2 linked regions of the Lytechinus pictus genome follow. The protein of the gene in region 2 binds, or shares a complex with, the protein of the main gene of each other region. Links are inferred from orthologs where the notes say so. Each region holds a gene or a part of one and is shown on either strand. Other genes may lie near its edges. The genes, in order: glycosylated lysosomal membrane protein B-like and major facilitator superfamily domain-containing protein 1-like.

The links.
Region 1: the proteins of major facilitator superfamily domain-containing protein 1-like (region 2) and glycosylated lysosomal membrane protein B-like are in contact, whole or in part, in a cryo-EM structure (PDB 8R8Q), measured with the Mus musculus proteins. The link is inferred for Lytechinus pictus from reciprocal best matches to the Homo sapiens genes MFSD1 and GLMP. Residues at the interface, in NP_080089.1 of Mus musculus: Val288, Glu292, Lys293, Arg295, Phe349, Phe351, Leu411, Asp412, Lys414, Gly415, Tyr416, Leu417, Leu418, Val421, Ile424, Ser428, Leu432, Val435, Leu439; in NP_064387.1 of Mus musculus: Glu250, Asn252, Ser253, Ile254, Asp255, Asp256, Glu257, Pro260, Ala261, Phe263, Gln264, Arg292, Phe364, Leu367, Val368, Ile371, Met372, Ala375, Ala378, Leu381, Met382, Gly385, Phe389.

The regions. Positions count from the first base shown.
Region 1 is NC_087249.1:14,774,837-14,782,343, forward strand, and holds the start of glycosylated lysosomal membrane protein B-like, read right to left. Parts: upstream 3,281-7,507; 5' UTR 3,173-3,280; coding exon 3,086-3,172; intron 1-3,085. UniProt on the Homo sapiens protein: Required to protect lysosomal transporter MFSD1 from lysosomal proteolysis and for MFSD1 lysosomal localization.
Region 2 is NC_087260.1:28,507,059-28,514,368, forward strand, and holds the start of major facilitator superfamily domain-containing protein 1-like, read right to left. Parts: upstream 3,035-7,310; 5' UTR 2,851-3,034; coding exon 2,664-2,850; intron 1-2,663. Other genes in the region: ribonuclease H2 subunit B-like, read left to right, coding at 3,441-3,519, 5,834-5,902, 6,870-6,977. UniProt on the Homo sapiens protein: Lysosomal dipeptide uniporter that selectively exports lysine, arginine or histidine-containing dipeptides with a net positive charge from the lysosome lumen into the cytosol.

The sequences.
Region 1 (7,507 bases), on a different chromosome or scaffold from region 2:
CACGTCGCCTGGAAATGATGACGTCACGTTGTGTCAGGAGGGTTGTGATTCCATAGGTTTGTGTACAAAAGCATTGGGTATTTTCTTCTATTTCCATGTTATGAATCCATTTTTTTTTTGCTTTCAGATGAAAATGGCACTCAAAATTATTCACTGTTCAAATTGTTGTAAACCTACAACTATTCACTACCTTTTTTGTGATTTCTTTGTTTGGCTCTTATTGGGCCTAAATTGCTATGTCAGGAAAAGTTGTTATACATAATCTAAATGCAGATAGAATTGAAATCTGCGCCAAATTTATAAGCAGGAAATAAAATATGGCAAAAACTAGTTCAAAACTGCAGATTTCATAAATTCAAGCTTGTGGGTAAAAATATATGTAATATCCCTCTGTGATAGAAGTGAAGAGAATGAAATGCATTATCTGGAAAGCAAAAAAATCACCCAGTTTTTTGTGTACAAACCTATGGAATCACGACGCTTCTTACACAACGTGACGTCACGGTCTCGAGGCAGGTGAAAAGGACAATAAAGCCTATTTTCTAAGCGGGGTTCGAAACCCGATAATTGGAATATTCTTAATTAAGCAAAATACTCAGCTGGGAAGCGGTGAAAATGCATAAAGCATACCTTGGTGCATTTAGTAGCTTATAAGCTTTCGATTGGTATATAATTTATCAATTTCATTTTCGGGTCCGGTCTGGATCTTTAAGACCGATATTCGGAATTGCAGAAAACATTACATCTGTTATGTTACGAGGCAATGTTTGCTAATGCTAGTTGCTAACTGTTTCAGTGTTTGAAAATTCACGCCCATTGAAGAACATTGCATACACGTACGTGCGAGGTCCGTCTGTATACAAAACTCGCATTAGTGTGAGTGCGTTGGATTCTGATTACTTTCTAACCTTAAATCACTCACTGCATCCAATGCAATGATCCATTATTATAATAATTATTTTGCATCAAGTTCCAAATTTCATTATTTGTTAAATAATAATTTTTATCTATAAATTGTTCTTCAAAACGGCATTTTGTAACATCGTTAATCGAAGACCTGTACGTCATACATAAGCAGTTCAAGCCCATTGTATTTGCGTTGTGTACAAATGGATCGAGGGATCTACACGAGATCGGTCTGGTAAGAAAACTCAAATTTTTCACCTTTTTATTAACACATTTTTATGCACCTTCTTACGCATTAGGCGTATGAAGGTGTATAAACAGTAGAGGCGCACAGCCAATATGGGAGACTGTCTCCCAAGAGAGAGATTATCTCTAATATCAGAGACTTTTGTAAATAATTTGGGTATCCAATTTCAGAGACAGTCTCCAGTTTGGGAGACCAATATCCTTTGTTTACATTTGCTGCAAAAGGTGTGATTGGCAGATATGAAAAATTACCCTTTTTCACCGCCTACTTTTGTTTTGATAAGGATTTTTGTTGTCATCCACACACAAAACAAATGGGCTTCTGACCTAAGTAGGCGGTGCTGCACCATCCCGAGTTTGCTCAATCTCGAGATTTTAGCCCGCTCGGTCCACTTCGCGATTAATCTCGAGATTCAAGAAACCCCGTCTCCACCATCGCAAGAAGAGCGATCCCTGCTCGAGCGAGGCAACAAGACCGATATTACGAGCATGCGCACTTTCGGATCTTGGAGTTTCAACGGCCCGCGCTTTTGAATAACTTCCCGCGATATGCAAGCAATGTACTCCTTTCACTAGCACTTTCGCCGAATTCGACCGGTGTTATGCAACAATCCTCTCAGCTCAGCGAGTGAAGAAGTGATGTATTCTTCGTTAAATATGATGGCGGAGTAGGAGGCAACGACAGAGAGAGAGAGAGGGAGAGAAGGAGGAAAGAAATGCTATTTGCTCACATTTTGCGAAAGAATAAGACAACACTGCTGTCAGTGTTGTTATTGAATATGACCATCGTCGATGAGCGCCTCCCCCTTCGGTCTGGTCTCTCCCAAAATCCATTCACTGGTGGGACACCATCGTTGCTGATTAGGCAATTGATGAACGCTATTCGCGATAATATCTATTCGCATGTATAAAGTTGACTTTCGCACGTGTTTATGTTTTGACCAAGGCGGAAGTGGAACGCGAATTGCATTACGGACTGACGTCATGAATAAATTACCCCGAGTCCAATCTCGAGTGCGTCTGCACCGACGAATTAGCAAGATAATTCGTAAAATAGCGCGCTATTTTGCAAATAAACCCGAGTTGACTTGGGATTGCAATCTCGAGATTAATCCTACGAACTAGCGCGATAATTGCGTCTCCACCGCAAACTATCTCGAGATTTTTCAGATCGGGATAATTTGCCGGATCAGAAATAGCGCGCTAATTTGAAAACTCGGGATGGTGCAGACGGCCCTAGTGAGACAAAATTTTGGGTGGAAAAAATAACGCTTTTGTTGGTGTTGTTTCTTTCGAGTCTCCAATATGGGAGATTGTCTCCCCTATTGAAGAGTCTCCCATATTGGCCGTGCGCCTCTACTGATAAACATGATAAAATATAAATAAGTAAAATCACACAAATGATTTCTATCTTCAAAGATGGATTTCCTAGGGAAATCCATCTTTGTTTACATGTGTCTCTTATAATATGGGAGGAGGTTCAAGGCTTCGTGATCAAATGACAATATCAAAATCATAAAAATATGATCACACAGAGTCCTCAAGACATGTCCACACACACAACATTAACAAAACAAAACAAAAAAAACAGACAACAAACCCCAATTATGACATTCGGTGATTAATTTCTAAGTAACATAGAAACATCAAACAACAAATGGAACAAAGAGATTCGATATTTACTTGCAATACAAACGTTTTTTTTTTTTTTTGAAAAGCCGTGACTCTTCTCTCGACACAGCTCAGTCACATATAATTATAAACACTGACTTCATTTTCGGCGGGCCCCTACGGCTACGAACATCTATCGCCGCATCTCACCGATGCACTTCTCGCCCTGGCCCGCTGCTTGGCCTGGCTGTGTGATGTGCGGGGAAAATTTGATTCAAAACGGGTGCTCAGCTAGCTGCTAAATAACAGTACATCCACTTACATTTCTAATCTGATCATCACATTTTACACCAACTGTGATAGTAGAAATAAGGAACAAACATCTGAACATAAATGCAGTTGCAGTCATTTTGGAGATAATTCTTGATACTTGCCCCTCGCTCGGCCTCGTCTCCTTTCATTTTTCACTGACTGCGCTGAGCCGATATGATTTCCGCTAGACTAATGATCATGTGATATTTGATCAAGTAACGTGACCTCCGTATCGGTAACACAAAACTTTGCGATTGACGTAGGCCGATTTCACGATTGATTTTAATAACAATGATAATGTTATGTTATGTTATGTTGTTATGTTATGTTATGTTATACCGAGGTTGTTTTACCTGACTGCTAAGAAAACACGAATGCCTGTGAGCAAGCAACCAGGGGACCAACGGCTTAAGGTCCTCTCCGAGGGACCTGGTAATGAGGATTATATGTTATATCGAGGTTTTTTACCTGACTGCTAAGAAAGCACGAATGTTATGCAATGAAACCGCACATTTTAATTTGCAAAGGCCTATCCTATTTCTCAATTGTTTTTTTTTTTCCATTCATATCCGAATTCACAAAGACATGCTAGATCACCGGTCCCAGCCACCCCACTGGGCAATTTGTTACCGATTACCAATTTTACCGGTTATTACCGGTAATATCACCCGGAAATTTGAGTAACACCAAATATTACCGTTATTACCATGTTATTACCGAAATTATAATTCCTGTTGATACCTGTTACTGTTATCACCCTGATGAAACCTACATTTACCTAGTTACAACAGGGTGATGAGGGGTAATAAGGGTAATGTTGAATGACTTTGATTGGTTATAACATTGCAAACTTTAGTAATAAGAGCAATCTTACAGCAATCCCGGCGAAATTTTCAAAGTCCAAAAAATTACTGTTATCACCCTGATGAAACCAACATTTTACCCAGTTACAAACAGGTTGATAAGGGGTAATGGGTAATGTTGAAACGCTTCCATTCCCAGACAGCAAAGTATCTGGATCACATACAGTTCTTATCTGGGATATCTGGGTCCCATATGGGCCCACATGGAACCCGAGATGAAAACATATACTTGAACCCACATGGTGCCCAGATAGGACTCAGATGGAAACGAGACCTCCAACCCATGCGGAACCCATTAATATTGGGTAAATGGAGTAATATCAGATGGTAATATCAGGAAAATGCTGGGAATATTAGTTACTCATGAATATTCATTACTACAATAAATGGCCAAAATTTTAGCTAATATAGCTGTAATAATTAATGTGTTTATGTTTATGCAATTATTCCACCCAGAAAATTTTCAGAAAAATGTGTAGTTTATATATCATATTAGTCATAATCATGACATTAATTTTAGAAAAATGTTTTAGGGTTGAATAATTGTTAACCATAATTTGTCAAGTGTTGTAAACTCGCTCAATATATAGAAGTAAATGAGAGGGTTTGGTGGATAGGTGTAGGATAGGATTAGGATTAGGATGTAGGATTTTAGGATAGGATAAGATGATATGGCTTAGAGTATGGAGTTGTAAAAATGTGCTTCAATGACCCTAATGACACTAATCGTTTTTTTAATGAGCCGACATTAATTGGGTAATATTGGGTAAACAGAGTAATATGAGGTGGTGATATCATTAAAATGCTGGAAATAGTAGTTACATCATACTGAGAAATATTGGGTAAATGGAGTAATATCAGGTCCAGGTAATAAGAGGGAAGGATTGGTCTACTATTTCCCTGTTATTACCCACTGTTGTTACCGTAGTAATATCCATGTTATTACCTGTTACAACCCGGGTAATGTCAGGTAAAATGCCCAGTGGGACTGAACTAGAAATACTAATAATAATATTTCTTGTTCAGTGGTCCCGGCCGGCAAAATCCAGGTCAAGTACCCGATGTGTTTATGCCCAGGAGGGCCCTCATTGAAACCAGTTGGATTTCCAACTGGTTTCAATAGGTTTCAACTGGTTTCAATTGGTCTTAACTGGAATGTAACAATTTCCAATTGTAACCAGTTGGGCAACTGGATATCCTAACTGGAACCAGTTGAGTAACTGGAAATGTCTTCCAACTGGAAATACTGGAAATAGTTACGGCCCTGGAAATCCTAACTGCAGTTGCACTAGCTGGAAATGATCAACTGCATGAAATTGACTTCTAACTGCATGGAACCAGTTGGGTAACTGGAAATCCTAACTGGAACCATGCAGTTGGGTAACTGGAAATGACTTCTAACTGGAAAGTTGGTAACTGGATATGACTTCCAATCGGAACCACTGAGTTGGATAACTGGAAATCCTAACTGGAACCAGTTGGGTAACTGGAAATGACTTCCAATTGGTTTTCAATTTGAAAATTTTCCGGTTATCCAACTGGATCCAATTGAAACTAGTTAATTTGCATATTATCTGCCAATGTGTACAAAGTAATGTTTTATGTGATTCATCATCATTTACAATGTATAAATTCATTTCTTTTCTTTCTCAAGTGCCTCACTTGTTTAAGATAAACTTGTTTAGAAGAGTTAGCAGTACGTGAAAACCATGTTCATAAATATTATATATTACAATTTTTAACAGATTAAAATATAATTAATACATCACTAACTGTTACCAAATTACACCAAATACAAATACATATATTCGAAGCTCCTCCACACAAATATATATGTATGAAAGTCTAAATTTTATCAATGCCCTTTACATTGGTATTAATAGAATGATATAACAATGCTTCTGTGTTGGCATGGGCTATAGTTAGTACAAATTCTAATTAATTTGTAACTAATTAAGTCAATTCCAACTGGAAGTTCCAACTGGTTCCAGCAAACCAATTGAAACCAGTTGCTTCCAATTGGTTTTAACTGGAACCCCCTGGAACCAATTGAAACCAGTTGCCTCCAATTAGATTCAACTGGTTTTAATAAGAAAATTGGAACAATTACTGGAACCAACTGAGGGGCAGTTGCCTAATTTGTTTCAACTGGAACCAATTGAAACCAATTGCCAACTGGTTCCAGTTGGAACCAGTTGTTCCAATTTATTGAAACCAGTTGGTTTCAAGTGGTTTTGCTCTAATTGGTTTCAACTGGATTTTGGTCCTGAGTCGTATACATCCAGATCCACCAAAAGTGTATTAATAAATGATCTACTCCCAATCAGAGTATAGTCTATCCAAATGAAAACGATTGCATTAATAATTGTAGCTGTATTATAATCATAATAATATCAATATCTGCATTTGTAGCGCCTTTTGCCTGCATGAGGATGCAAAGAATGTGCTAAAACACAGGTTTTAGACCGAGTATCATCCTTTTCAACAAGCGCCTTCAGTGAATTAATAATTATGTCAGACACCCATTCACCTCCCCTGTGTAGAAAGCAGCACTGAGTAGATACTTTTCTTGCTAAAGGAAACCACGACCATTGTGTTTGAAAGGTAAGACCACTAGAAAACGACGCGCCAAGATAATTTTCGAAGAAAATAATTATAAATAAACGGAACAAAAGGGAAAAAAGAAACATCCATCGGTGAAATTACTATCATTATTTAATATATCAAACGGCTCCTGTCTTTAATCAGGTATCAGAAAGTTCTCCAGGAGAGAGAAGAATTATGATAATGAATAAACAAAAGATAGAGGAAGAGATAGAGAGCATATCGGTGACACGACATTTGCTCCTGCTACAATTACTCCGGTCTTTACATATACGGCATAGGCAGCGGCGTACCCAGAATTGAAAGGGGGGCAAAGTTTGTGGAGGATATTTCGTCCGCGAAAAAAATTGACAAGCAAAAAAAAAAAAGGTCTTCTACCTTCTTCTTCTTCTGTTGAATTCCTCCGTTCACTGGAGAACTGCAAGCCTTTAGTACAGTACAGCATGGTAAAATAATGAGCTATTATAGTCACTGTTTGCAGCAGCTTGATCAACCACAAATACAGGATTTCGTACCAGAAAAAAAATTGACAAGCAAAAAAAAAAAAAAAAGTCTTTAAGTTCAAAAGAGGGCGCACACGTCGGTTTTCTTTGCATATTTACATTACAAATTATTAATTTTGCTTCTCAAAGGGGGGGGGGGGAACGTCCCCTGGATCAGTTGTGACTCGTCAGGGGGCAGGGGTACGTACGTCCCCTGCATGAGTTGTGACTCGTCAGGGTACTTAGTGGGCATAGAGTTATAGTTAGGATTGTAATAAAGTTTTTGGTTCAGAATAATAAAGATAAGAATTATGGTTTATTCAGTTTTAGAGATTTGGATGAAATCGGGCTTAATTTATTTGTGTCCTGCTTTGTGTCATGGTAAAAATGAGGGGAAAATAGAAAAAATGGAGAAGGAAAAAACAACTAAAAAATGAAATAGAAATCCAGCAAACGAAAGAACAAAGAGAAAAAACCTAAAGT
Region 2 (7,310 bases):
GTAAAGTCAAAGATTTTCACAGATATACTTTGTCATATAATTTCAGAAAATATGGCTTTATATAAATTCAAATGTTTGATTTTTCATAATTTCTGGTAATTAAGTTATTTGCTGAACGTCATATGTTAAATTTTTGTAAAGTTCAGTAGTATTTTGTCTTGCACTTTTCAATGTTCAATATTCCTTTGAGCTACCATAATTGTTTTTATCTATTTGTCTAGTGGTGCTCTCATAAGTTTTTCATTTTTTTTGTAAGTCCAGGAGATACATTTTTCCAGTTGGCAAGACATGCATAAATTTAACAAAAACAAATCTTTAATAATTTGAAAAAAATGTATATATATATTCAAGATTATAACATTTTTTTTTCTTTTCGGAAATCAAGACAAAAATTTTCAGTTTTTTGTTTTTTTCTAATTGATACGGTATTTAATTTCATGGCATGCAAGTATAAGATATACATTGAAATTATTTGCATGTTCATTTTCCACTGAAGTTACTCATATGATGCCAAAAAGGAAAAGTTCAAAATTCTGATAAAATATATATATTTTTTTTTTATTTTTCCATCCTCTCCTGGTCTTCACATTTATTATAAAATTGAATTATGTCATGGTTACGTTACTTCTTTTTAAATTCTTTTATGTAAATAATGTTAGATGTTCAACTTGTCAAATTCTGGTTTTGCAGCTTTATTTTATATATAATTTTACTTTTTGAAAATTGAGGACAATTTTTTGGAAGGAGAAAGTTTATGTAGGATTGTTAATTTGTCATTTACCTATTTTGTTTATTTCCTTTGACTTGTGTTTTCTTCAGGTGTTTTACATTTCTGTTCTGTCTAGACTTTAGTTCATTTGCATTTCTTTTCAGTACTGCCCTTGCAGTCTGGACTTAGGTTATTTGAGTTTAATGATATTCAGTTGTCATTCATTCATTCTACTCTGAATGCCTTTCCTGTGTTTCTCTTGTCATCTTCATTCCTTCTCTATTCTCTCTTCAGGTGTTCCACTCATTCCATCCCTCACCTGACTCCTTAGTTTCTACTTCCATTATTACATAATCACCAGACATCTTTGTCATCTCATCTCATTCCTTATTGGTTTATCTTATGAATTGGGTTCTTACATTTTAGTTCGATCCTTCCATTTTCTTTAGTTTGATTGGTTGCTATTTCTAATTTAAATATTTATGTAAATTATTCTGTGATCCAAAGTTAAGCTGAGGCAAAATAGCCCAGATATTAAAAAGTGTACAACCAGACTCCTTCGGTTTAAGTTCTCTTCATTTTGCGTCTGTTTCACTTATTCCCCCTTCAGCATGATTGATTGAGTTTGATTTAGAACTTCATTTATTTTCTACCTCCAAACATATAATTTTCTCAACCTTACAATAGTTTTAGTGGACAAAAATATTCTTATATAGACCAAATATGCAGCTTTTCTATTAAAAACATGAATGAAGAGATTTGTGATGTGAATGAATTAAATTTTTGATACCACATTCACAATACCTAAGAAATTGAGAGAATTAAGACTTGGAAATTTGTAAGATTAAAAAAATGTCAACTAAAATCCTTTCATCAATTCAAAGGTCAATTCTGGCCTCTGGGATCAATTCACAAAAATGGTGACGAACCAACATTTATTACCCAACACATGAACATGTTGTCTTGTCTTGTAAATACTGCACTTGAACACCTCAAAGAGGCTATAGACGTGCAGGCCATTCATGCAATCGCTGCCGCTATATACTTCTTTTAGTTAGCATGTTTTTGCTCAGCTGTTTCTTATGCATGTTTATACCTTTATACCTTTATACCGCATCTACTGGAAAAATACAGTTGTTCCTGCAGTCAAGTTTCCAGGTCTATCTTGTTGTCTTCCTATCTTGTTGTCTTCCTAGCTTGTTGTCTTCCTAGCTTGGATAAGTTCGAAAACTTTATGACTCAATCCAAAATATAGGCCTAAGCTGAATCAATCAATCTTTCTTTACCCATCATTATTCAGATAAAAAATGCATTTTGATGTTAAAAATTGGAATGTTTTTGTCATGTCAATGGTCTGATCACTCACCAACTCCTAGTCCTAGGCTAAAGAAAGGTTTTCAATTGTCTGGACGGTGATTGGAATTTTCTATGACAACAGTTGCGTTTTAAAACCATAAGTGATTTTTCTTATAAATATAGTTCCTTTAAAAAATCATAGGATTTGACGATAATCATTTTGTCAAAACATTACTGTTTTTTTTCCAAGTATTATTTTTCATGATTTTATCCATTCTATATAGAGTGGAGGCAGGATGCAGGAAATGGTTTTCCAAACCTTGTTTAAGATCGACTACAAGTACAAGTCTACATGCAATTATTTTTTTAATGTGCCATTGACACAAACAGTGCAGTGCCAGGCAACTCTTAGAGTTGGAGAGTAGGCTAACCTCACCTTAGGCTTAGTCTAGAGAATTGTTTAGTTTTACTCTCCAACTCCAGCAGAGTCCAGCACCAGGCTCTAATAATTAGCTCCTTAACTTCTTTAAAAAAAAACAACGTTAAACTTAAACTACAATGTAAGTTGACGGAATATCAGTTAAGACTTTCTCAGCTCATTTTAATGACAGTCACCCTAGAATGAAGATAAAGATATATTGCCTCAGTCTATCCTTACCAAAACTTAAGAAACAAATAAAAATAAGAATGAGGTATCTATGCAGGGCCCGTCTCGGATCACAACAAACTGTGGCTCCACAGCCTGAGAGTTCCACATCCTCATCATCATCCTGAATTTGATTCCTGTCCGGTCGTCCACTCAGCAGCGGTGCATTTTCATCATGATTCTGATCGTTGTTTTCCATCCTTACTTGATCCTGAACGAAGATTTTTAGTTTATTAGTGGACAAAAGTCAAAAGTTTTGAGTTTCCTTTTCAGCTAGCCGCGGATAGCATCTTCAAACTTCACAACATCAGTCGAGTCGGCTCATAGCTTAATGCAAATTGGACACAAATGCAAAGATATACCACAAAAGCAGCCGAGGCGAGGGGTCGTCACGTGAAATAACAACCGTGACAATATATTTTCAGCAATATTGGGGTTATCTATGCTAACTTTGGAAAGTAATAGAAACAAATGTATTCATATCATTCTTTGTTATATAATCCTATTCCGTAAATACAAATTATAATGCAGTCCCTGGCATTCATAAAATCTTGTGATTTTTATTTTTAACAGCTCTCGTAACTTTGGAAATTCAACAACGATTGATGACATGACTAAAACTTTTATTTGAAATCCAATCATTAACCTGGAATTGAGGTTCAACGAAAAGTTAGAAACGGCGCGCCACATTTGCTCGACCCGCGATCGCGAACGAGGAGTTGACAAAAACTTGAAAAAGTTAGTTCTTTTTGCAGAAATAAATCTCAGTTAAGGTTAGATTAATAAATCATGGCACCAAAGTCAAAGAAACAGAAAGGAAAGGGGAGTACCAAATGTGATAGGGATCAGTGGGTGTGTATTACTCCAGGTAAGAGTGAAATTTCAACTTTGTTCTGTCATAATCAGATAATTTCATGATGCTTAGTCCCACATGCTTGTAATTGTGTCATGACACTGACTAAAAGAGTTTCTGAATGATCCTGACGTCGACGCGAAGCTGAAGCCGATGATGACGAAGACAAAAGGAGGGAAGAGAAGAAAAAGAAGGAGAAAGAGGGAGGAGACGAGAGTAAAACATTGTCATTGACAGACTAGGTCTAGGAGGTGGAGAGTCATGCATATTACTGAAGAAAACATTGTCAATGTCATTCACTCATTCAGTCATTGTCATTCTCAATCTGACGTCAGTCATTGTTTTGACTTTGTTTGACTTTTTTTTTTTTAAGGGAGGAATTCTGGAAAATGAATAGTATAATGGTGGCCTTCAAGTCTTCGCACCTAACAATTTGAGTTAAGATTTAACATGAATTACTTTTTCTTTCACAAAATCTTTCAGTTAATAATGTTCCTTATAATATTAAGTGTACCAAATATCTCATAAAAATTTGAAAGAAATATAGGATTTTCTTGGAAAAAAACCTCAGGCTGTCATTTTCAGATTGAAAATGGTACCCCATGTCTTGGCACCCATTCACTTTGCACACGATTCGGGGAATTTGATGAGAAAGGCTGCATTTTGAGGCCGTCACATGAAATGCCCAAACTTCATTATTTTTCCACCATTTTGAGTCAGATTTTTTAATGAATATCTGTCTATGTATTGCATGGGTAAAGTCTGTGTTCTTTGCGTATCTTCTTTTACTAGAATCGCGCAGATACGCATGTGCGCAGACAAGGGGGACTGCGCAGACTGGGGGGAACTTTCCATAGATCTAGGCCTAGACTAGTGAGTAGAAGACGCTTGGTGCAGAAGAAAGTGAGGTCGGATGGGGGAGAAGAAAAAGAAGTCTCCAATTCAGGAAATATCTCCCATTATTGGAGACTGGGTATACAAAAGGAAATACACTGTAGAATCTAATTAAAAAAACACGCGCATCATATGCATCTGAAAATAATTTCAAACGCTTAAAACTTTGCGACATCTTTCCAAAGGGAACTTGAATTTTTAAAATGATGAAAAATGGTCAAAAATGCATTTTTAAAGTCTCTATATTCTCAGAATAGCCCATCAGTGCTTTTGTTGTTTTATCAAAGTTCTCATAGAAAACACACTTTCGGTAATGCGATACCATTTTCAAGTGACCAAAATATTTCACATGCGAAGAGGGGTCCGATGGGAAGCTGATATTGTAAAAAATAACAATGATTTCGGCAAAATTTTTACAGGTTTATATTTTGTAGGTATTTTTGTATTTATGGTAAAAGTTTGGTGAATTTTATGAGAATAATATATTTGATATGATTAAATTCATGAAAAGTGTCTGGTAATACAATCCACTACCATACATCACTAGAGGCACATGGCCAATATTGGAGACTGTCTCCCGAGAGAGAGATTATCTCCAATATCAGAGACTTTTGTAAAGAATTGGGCTATCCATTTTCAGAGACAGTCTCCAGTTTGGGAGACCAATTTCCTTTGTTTACATTTGCTTCAAAAGGATTTCCTTGGCGGCAAATAAAAATGTGATAAGCAGATTCCTCATGAAAAATTACCTCTTTTCACCGTCTACTTTTGTTTTGATAAGGATTTTTGTTGTCATCCACACACAAAACAAATGGGCTTCTGACCTTAGTGAGACAAAATTTTGGGTGGAAAAAATTATGCTTTTGTTGGTGTTGTTTCTTTTGTTCTTTTGCAAAGCAAGTCTCTAATATGGGAGATTATCTCCCACATTGGAGTCTCCCATATTGGCTGTACATGTATCAATCAATCTGATAGGATAATTTAAGTCTGGGAACAACATTTAACGTCACCATCTGAAAGACCCGACCAGAGCTCAAATCTGTCAATTTTTAATGGATTACAGGCACATATCAAAGTGGTCAGTTATCTTCTTTTTTTTTAAATGTAGTCTTGCCGTGAAGCCAAGATCTTGGGCCTGTTGCATAAAACTTTTGCCATAAAAAACTCTGGCAAACAAAATTACACAATTGACACTTAACACAAAAACTTTCAATATGCAACAGGCCCCCATTTTCTGTTTTTACTTTTGTGTAGTTTTATGTCTAATTGGAAATGCCAAGATTTTCAATATGACATCCCTATGTTTCTGTTTCATTGATATATCATACATGTATTTAATTTTAAATAATCAAATTGCTGTGATAGTATACTGAAAAACCTCTCACACAAACTAATGATTTGGTGTTTTTTTTACCTTCCCTTTCCATTCTTTCAGAATCTTCACTTGATAGTATTGATGGTTGCCCAGATCCAACTTTTGTAAAGCTGAGGCACCCTAAGACAGGTATAAAAATTAAATTGTATATATTTAATACCTTTTTATTTATCATGTATTTTTTTTTCTTTCCTAAAGCATGTTTTCATTGACAAGTTCCTGTGATGAAGCAGAATTCCTGCAATTTCATTGGTCAAGAGCAAATTTGTCATGAATTTCTGTGACTTTGTATTGTTGCAGACTTTTACGAGCAAACATTTTTTTTAAATCGCAAAAATAAACAAGGGAATTCTGAATATATAAGGGAAAACACTTCAAACAATCATATTTTATAGGGAAATGGTCATCATTATGCACCATTAAGTTGATATACGCACCACTGCCTTTATATTTAACATCTGGTGCTACACCATATTATGCCTGATCATCGAACTGTTAAATATTTCCATTCAAGCAGAGAGATCCATTTATTTTCATATGAATTTTTGTATTATTCTTGCTTGTTTGTATTAGTCTTGGTAGTTTTCTCCCAGAATAATTAAAGTCTGATTGGTTAATATTAAAGATAAACAATGTTTATTTATGTTGTCTTGATTTTAATATTTAAAGTAAAGGGTCTGTATTAATCAAACTTAGATTTTTGGTAGATCCTTATTCACTGTTGTATTATCTGTCTGGTAGTATACAGTGAGTCAAAAGTGCATTAGTGACCACCTCTCTAAAGCAGCCACCTGCCTTTTTTAGTGACTTCTAAAACAAATTTTCTTGGGGGCAATTTTTGTGTTTAAGAACCTGTCTATAGCAGTCAAGTGCATATGTGTTTCCCTAGGATGGTTACTATAGACAGTTTTCATGTACTTATTATGTACTATGTAAATATTGGTATTATATGGTGGTGAATGTGGAATATAAATGAAATAATAATAAATAAAATTTTTAAAATCAAATAAGATCTTAAAAATAGCATGGACAAGCAGTTCTAGGCATTCTCAGCACCGATTATGAAATGGCTTTATAATGTTTTTTCCACCTGCAGAGAATGGAGCGATGTTTCTATTCAGCAGTGACGGAACGGGTGTTTATGAGGTGATGAGATTCAAACGAGACTTTGGATCATGGTTCATTAATGATTCAGTCCAACAAGGTGAAGTATTTCAAGAATGATGATTCAATCCTAAGTGTATTGATTACAGGTGTTAACTTGAGAGCCTCAAGCCCAAGGGCCGGTTTCATAAAAAATAATTAATTTGCAATAATAGTTTAAAGCTACTGATTCAATCCATCAATTTGATTGGCTGAAAGTAAACCTGTTAAATGGTGCATTTATTATTGTGACAAATCTTTATAAAACAGGACCCAAGAACCTGTTACATAAATCTTAGCAATTGATTCTACTAGGCCCGTTTTGAAAGTCCATTTTTGATGCACGTGTACACGGCGTGTTTTTCGGTCGTGTACACGTTGTAAACACTCTGAG